Macaca fascicularis: one gene and its partner. The protein of the gene in region 1 purifies or fractionates together with the protein of each later gene. This does not show direct contact. Links are inferred from orthologs where the notes say so. Each region holds a gene or a part of one and is shown in the gene's direction. Other genes may lie near its edges. The genes, in order: CASK and ARHGEF26.

The links.
Region 2: the proteins of CASK (region 1) and ARHGEF26 purify together in Homo sapiens (affinity purification with mass spectrometry; 3 studies listed by BioGRID and IntAct, with this or other methods). This does not show direct contact. The link is inferred for Macaca fascicularis from reciprocal best matches to the Homo sapiens genes CASK and ARHGEF26.

What each region holds. Positions count from the first base shown.
Region 1 is NC_088395.1:41,535,092-41,538,913, reverse strand, and holds part of CASK (peripheral plasma membrane protein CASK), read left to right. Parts: intron 1-2,506; coding exon 2,507-2,683; 3' UTR 2,684-3,822. UniProt on the Homo sapiens protein: Multidomain scaffolding Mg(2+)-independent protein kinase that catalyzes the phosphotransfer from ATP to proteins such as NRXN1, and plays a role in synaptic transmembrane protein anchoring and ion channel trafficking.
Region 2 is NC_088376.1:57,144,839-57,148,660, forward strand, and holds part of ARHGEF26 (rho guanine nucleotide exchange factor 26), read left to right. Parts: intron 1-3,478; coding exon 3,479-3,631; intron 3,632-3,822. UniProt on the Homo sapiens protein: Activates RhoG GTPase by promoting the exchange of GDP by GTP. Required for the formation of membrane ruffles during macropinocytosis. Required for the formation of cup-like structures during trans-endothelial migration of leukocytes.

The sequences.
Region 1 (3,822 bases):
TGAATCATCATCTTTGCTTTTGTTTTTGTTTTGCCTGTTTTCCTGCCCTTTTACTAATTTTCCATAGCTGCCAAAATGGTGCAGAAAATTGCCTGTAAGTACCAGCTAGGAGGTAGTGAAATACAGCCTTGTTTCTTCTAATAGATTTAGAATGTAGACACTTTGTTCCCACAAATCCTTGCTTTTGCTGTTAGAATAAAGGCATTTTGTTTTCACTGAGTTAAACCCTGCTCACGTGTGAGTCAAGCACACAGACAAGCTGTTGTCGAGGAAGAGACTGACAAATATAGCTTCATCTTAAAAGATTCTTAAGAGGGAGCTTTATTTTTCTGTAAAGAGACCTACATTAAAAATGTGATACTTTCAGCCATACATTTTCTGGAATATTTTCATCAGCCCAGCTTGCTGAGCAAGTCATAAACTCTGCTAGTGGTTTCTGAAGCTCAGGACTACATATTCAAATAGAATCCCGTGTGCCAGACAGTGATGTTGTAGGAATTGTTCCTTTTCATCCTGGTAGGAAGCACTCCTATCTTTGGGTGAATGCACGTTTGCTAAAATGGCGGGTTTTTTGTTTTTTTGTTTGTTTGTTTGTTTTTTGCATTGTGTTGGTTATTAAGTAAAGCCACAGTGAAAATACTATGCTTTTTAAGTGCAAGCAGAACTAGAAGGTGATGATTAACTGGGGTCTTAGCTACACTGTAGTACTTAACACTCTCAGTCAAAGCATGCCCTGTCCTGCTTTGAAATGCCTGTGAAAGAGGACAAAACAGGTAGGACATTCTTGGTTCAGAGCGCCCTGAGAGAAAAGATTGAGTTCCCATCTGCTGTGGTGTCTGTGCATGCCCACTGCAGGGCCAGGACAGAATCAAGCAAGTCTCTTTATCTTACTTCTAGTCCCCTTTCTTGAGAGCTGTACCCAGAGAGCTGAGGCTTGCCTGGACCTCCCAGCAGCCTCACCAGGAAGGGTCTCTTGCCAATAACAGAGGGGCCTTAGAGAAGAGGAGGGGAGGGGCCCTAAGCCAGTACTGGGCACTACGGCTCCTAGGTCCTTGAAGATAGTGCATCTTTTATTTTCTCTGGAGATCTTTTTCTGTCACCTGGGGGGCCCCCATTTCTGGGAAGAATTGCTCAGTCTCTTGATTTTAGATTTAATACTTGTAAAACCCTATAATGACTGGCACTAGTCAGACAAGTGCTTGTTCTTTTGACAGCATTTATTAAGCACTTACTATGTGTAAGGCACTATGCCTAATGCTGGGGCACAGCAATTACAGGGCACACAAGACAAGTTTATAGCTGGAGACAGAGCCACTCATCAAATAAAGAGGTATTTCATTATCTCTATGTATATTTGAGACTCAGCCCAAGAGCTCACCCACCTAGTGTTTGGCAGGTAGGGGGTGGTTAATTTGACTCACAAAGTTCCCTAGTGTCAAGGTTGAACTTGCCCTTTGGGAGTTCAGCATGACAAATTTGACTCATGAAGATATAGAGGCAGACTTCTTTCTGGTGGCTCTTAAGAGACCCCTATCTTGAAAGAACTGCCACTCTGTAGCGGAAGCTACACTTGCGTGACAAAGCTGGGACCTAAACTCCCTCCTGCTGTTGGATCCCTCTTGCGAGAGTTCTTAAAATCTGTGGCAAGCTGCAGCTTAGGGAACATCCTTTGTTGCAGCAAACCTCTCTAGAGTTCAGCAGCTTCTCTTCCTTTGGTTTTTTTCATAAGAGATACGAGGACCTGTGAACAGTGACATTTGTCCAGCCATTTCTAATGCAGACCACTTTGGGGGGATTCATCAGATGCCAGGTGCTGTTTGTTGGGGAAACAGCCTTATTCCGGCCATTATTTGTAACACTCAAAGAGCTTTTGCCTCTGGCATCAGCTGCTATTGAGTGAGGGCCATTATATGTCATTGAATTCCTGGAACGGTGGCACCTTTAAGTACAAGAGGAAAAAATACAACTTAATTTGTCATCCAAGGGCAGGGACTTGCTGGTGCAAACCCAGCTGGGCCCTGAGGCCTGGCTCCAGTGAGTGTGGAGGACCAAGGGGAGGGGGGCAAAGAGCTCGGGCCTTGCCACAATCTCCCTCTCCCAATTGGGAGAGTGGCTTGAGGCTAGGGCGGGGGGCTTCCTGTGGGCCTGTTTGGGCCACCATAGCCACTCTAACCCACACCTGGCATGGCCCTGCCAAGCCTGACTCTGGGGACAGGCATAGCTAGGCCTGAGTGGGGGTGGCATGTTTCCTGAAGAGTGTCTGTTTTCTCTGGTTCGTCTGCTTTGTCATGGACCCTCTGTTGCATGTTGAGCAATCACTGTCTCCTCTGTCATGGAGCGGACTTGGCCTCATGCTGGAATACGGCATGTCAGGGTCTGGCCTTGACTGTTTCTGACACTGGGATGAACAAAAATGTGAAAAGAAAATGAATCCAACTGATTTCTCTCTTCTGTTTGCTTTTCCTCCTCTCATGCCCACCCCTACCTCCATCTCATCACCATTTAGGATGAATCTCTTCAGCGTCTGCAGAAGGAGTCTGACATCTTACAGAGAACATATGCACACTACTTCGATCTCACAATTATCAACAATGAAATTGATGAGACAATCAGACATCTGGAGGAAGCTGTTGAGCTCGTGTGCACAGCCCCACAGTGGGTCCCTGTCTCCTGGGTCTATTAGGCCTTTCCCCAGATAGCTGAGCATAACTGGGAGCACCTCATACGTGGAAAAGCCTCTTTGTTATCGGCCTTGTGTCATCAGGTCATGGTCCCTAGAGACTACCTAGTTGTAGTGTGACCTACATTTATAATTATTGTCATGTCCGAATAGATAGGAGGAGAAAAACAATTACACACTAATTTAAAGAGACAGTATCTTTTTTAATCAGTTCTCCTAAACTTTAATAAAATGTATCTTTAAATGTATGTATTATTCAATCCTTTGGAATGTTATATTTTTGGAAATCATAGCTTTTTATTTCCAAGGCCCCTAAAAACTGCACAAAATAGATGCTGCTTTCTATAATCTATTTTAATAATAATAAACAATGATTCTGTTACCTTGACTGGGGGTGGAACACTACATTCTTTTTAGAGTCTGATTTTATGGATTGGAATATCTTTCTTTCCTTTATTTATTTGAAATAATTAGTGTAGTGATTACAAAACAGTCATAAATTTTTAAAGGCCTTTTTTCTCTTTTTTTTTTTTTTTTTAGAATAGTATTTTTTTTTTAAGTCCTTTATGTAACATCCAGATAATGTGATACTGTCTCTTTGAAGCACCCTGTAAACCTTTTAGAGATTTGAAGTTGGGTCTTGACTCTTAATGCATGTGGACAGTCGCGAGCGTTTATGCTGTCGGTGTGTCTGTGTTGGACAAAACAATCTGTAATCTACAGCAAAGTACATTCTACATTCCGTTCATGGGGCACACCCAGGGGAATAAGAATAAAATGCTATTATGACTAAGTTGTAAACCTATGCACATCCCTTGCATTTTGGGCAACTTTATAAAAAAAAATGAAACTGATTTTTATTAATAATAATCATGTAGTGAAATGTGTTTGTAATTTTGTCTCAATTTAATTTGTTGTAAGGTGGGGGGGAATTGCTGGTTTCACCATTTCAGATCTGTGTTGTCTAAGAGTATTAACGTTTTAATTAAGCAAAGAAATGAGGATTTTTAATCTGTATGTAATTGTTTTAAAGCACCCATTTTAAGAGAAAATACTGTGCAATGAAGAAACCAGTTTAGGCATTTGCTATAAACTGAAATATTCCAAAAGAATAATCTATAACAGCCCTGTAAATTCCTTTA
Region 2 (3,822 bases), on another chromosome or scaffold:
TTTATGTGAAAACCAGCTAGAAATCAAGTAGTCTCAACTATACAGTACCTAGAATTCACGTTGCTCTGAATTCTCACAGATGTGTATTTTTAGCTGTCCATTAGACATCTCCAAGGCAAAATTAAATGGAGCTCTTCCTGCTTCTTCCCCCTCTTCCTGAATCTCTGTCTTCATTAATAGTTTAAGAACCCACTTTATTGCCCAGGTGGAAACCTTGACCAGAAATCTCAGCATCTTCCTTGACTTCCCATCTAACGAATTTCTTGAGTCTATTAATTTTATCTCCAGATTGTTACCCCACGCTGTGTCCTCTCTTGATTTTCCACTACTAGGCTGTATTGTCGACTTGCCCAGATTAGCCACCTAACCAGCCTGCTTGCCATCTGTCCCTCCCTGCTAGTAATCCATCCTTGCTCTGCTCCAGTTTTCTCGGATTGAGTGATTTATTGGCTTCCACTGGTTTCTTATAGTCTGCAGATTAATCCCAAACTTTCCAGCACGCAGTCTAACCTTTGCAATTGAGCTCAAGCCTGCTCTGCAGTCTTCTTTCTATGCCCTTGTTCCTCCTAGAGTCTATACCTCAGCTCCACTGAACTTCCCAGTTTCCCCAACCAGACCCACGTTGCTTCGTCTGCCCATTGTGCTTCTCCCCTGCTCCCGTCATGTCATCCTTGGCAGTGATGATCCAGCTTACAGGTGTCCTCACCTGTGCTTACCGCGAGGGTGGTTACTCTGCCCTCTGGAGTTTTCTTTGTAGGCCTCTTTATTTTTACTCACCATACTTCTGACACCAAATGTGTGATTTTTTTTCTTATATCAACCAATTCTCTAACCCTCGAGACTCCAATTGTGTGTCCTACATTTCCAGTCCTACAGTTTCAGTTCCGACATTAACCACCCTGAGTTTGCATCAGACTCCACAGGTTTAAGGTTTCAGCCCACAAAACTGCCCTCATTTAAGATGGCAGATGCAAACATTGGGTCCCCAGGTTACCCACACTTCTCTCCTACTTGGCTACGGAGTTGCAGGGGGATTTCCACAATCCACCACTCTTTCAGGCCCTGATGCTTTGCTAAAATGATTCACAGAACTCAGGAAGGTACTCTACAATTTCTGGTTTATTATATAGGGTACAACTCAAGAACAGCCAAATACAAAGATTGTTACAGGGCAAGGCTGGAGGGGGTGTAGGTACTGCAGACCACCTAGTCCCTCTCAGGGCCTGCTACCCTCCCAGCACCTCAAGGTGTTCATCGTCCCTCCCTAACCCCATCAGTTAAGGGTTATGATGGAGGCTCTATTACGTAGCCATAATTGATTAAATCATCGTTCCTTGACAATTGAACTCAAACTCTTATGACTGGAGGTAGGCAGGCATGGCTAAAAGTTCCAACCCTGCAATCCTTGCTTGGTCTTTCTGGCATGCAGAGAGCCATGCCGAAGCTATCTAAGGGCCCCCAGCTACCAGTCATCTCGCTGGCATACGAAAGTCACTGCTATCACTCTGGAGATTCCAGGTATTTTGGGAGCTGTGTTCCAAGAACCAGGGATGAAGACCAAATACTTATTATTTTATTATGCCACACCCGTGTTATAGATCCTCTATTGTAATTGGCTGCATGCCTCCCATCAACCACTCCACTGCGAGTGTTGGGAGGGAAAGGATCATTTCTTACTCAATTTTGTTTAGTGAACTAACCTCTCCTTGGTATATAATTCAGCTTCTTCTGTTTTGGTTCAGGTATTATGCTATCATTTCTCTACACACTCTCAAACACACACACACACACAGATACCCACACCCCCACACCCATACACATACTACTGCACAGTGTGGTTAAAATTCCACCGATAGATATATACCCCAGAGACTTGAAAACAGACACACAAATAGATATTCGTATGCAAATGTTCATAGCAGCATTATTCCAGGTAGCCAAAAACTAGAAACTACCCAAGTCCCCATCAGCAGATGAATGGATAAACAATGGCTATCTATATGACATATATAATTATATATACCATATATATGTATATTATAGATACATACATTTGTTTGTATGTATATATTTAGGTGACCCTAAATTGCTATCTATTTATACACTAAATCTGGTAACACTGGCCGGGTGTGGTGGCTCCCACCTGTAATCCCAACACTTTGGGAGGCCAAGGTGGGTAGATCAGTTGAGGTCAGGAGTTTGAGACCAGCCCGGTCAATATGGTGAAACCCCATCTCTACTAAAAAATACAAAAATTAGCCAGGCATGGTGGCACATGCCTGTAATCCCAACTACTCAGGAGGCTGAGGCAGGAGAATCACTTGATCCTGGAAAGCAAAGATTGCAGTGAGGTGAGAGATAATGCCAGTGCACTCCAGCCTCGGTGACAGAGTGAGGCCCTTTCTCAGAAGAAAGAAAGAAAGAAAAGAAAGAAAGGAAAGCAAGAAAGAGAGAGAGAGAGGGAGGGAGGGAGAGAGGAAGGAAGGAAGGAAGGAAGGAAGGAAGGAAGGAAGGAAGGAAGGAAGAAAGGAAGAAAGGAAAGAGAGATGAAGGGAGGAAGGGAGAAAGGAAGGGATTGGAGGGAGGAAGGGAGGGATTTAAATACCGTGTATATTATCAGGTTTAAAATAATATGATTATTTTTATTTTGACTAACATATAGTGTTAGATTTATTTCAGACTGTTGTTTTGTTTTTTGTTTTTTAATTTTTATTGAGACGGAGTCTGTCGCCAGGCTGGAGTGCAGTAGCGCGATCTTGGCTCACTGCAACCTCCACCTCCTGGGTTCAAGCGATTCTCTTGCTTCAGCCTCCCGAGTAGCTGGGACTACAGCCACGTGCCACCACACCTGGCTAATTTTTGTATTTTTAGTGGAGACGGCATTTCACCATGTTGGCCAGGATGGTCTCGATCGCTCCAACTCGTGATCTACCCGCCTCGGCCTCCGAAAGTGCTGGGATTACAGGTGTGGGCCACCATGCCTGGCCTCAGACTTATTTTTTAAGCATTTATTTAGGTGTTTTGTTCATGTACTTTTCAATAAATAAAATATATAAGCATTCATTCCCCTTCCCATAAAGAATTCTTGAAAAATAGTGAAATACGTTTAGCCTAAAGTACCTGAAGGCAGAGCAATGCCTCGGATTATCGGTGTTTGAAGCCAAACACTTGAAGCAATAAGAAGGTTTTTTTTTTGGTTTTGTCTTGTCTTGAACTCCTGGCCTCAAGTGATCTTCCTGCCTCAGCCTCCAAAAGTGCTGAGATTATAGGCATGAGCCACAATGCCCATCCTCAAGGAGGTGTTGATATGATAGATTTAAACTTAGATAAAATTTTTGTAGTTTTTAAAAATATTTTTTAGTTGGTGCTGTGTACTGTTGAATTTTCAAACCCCATGTAATAACATTACATGAGGATAACCTGTTATCTGTTAGAGTGTATGAAAGATGTGTAAACTTTTTTCCCTTTGGTTTTTCAGGTTCTTTATAGAGTTGGAAGCAAGACATCAGAATAATATCTTCATAGATGATATAAGTGACATCGTGGAAAAACACACAGCATCCACATTTGACCCATATGTGAAATACTGCACAAATGAAGTCTACCAACAACGAACACTACAAAAATTGTTGTAAGCAATGTTGAATGCTACAGTTTTAATAGTCTAACCTAGTTTTAATTAGTCTACATTGACTGAAATTAATTGATCTTTTGAATTGTATTTAGGAATGCCTTCTGATAGTCTATTTCCCTGAGGAGAAATGTTTAAGAGCATTACTTTTAGGGCGAGGGTGTTTAAGTAGAAAAATCTAGTGGGTAGAG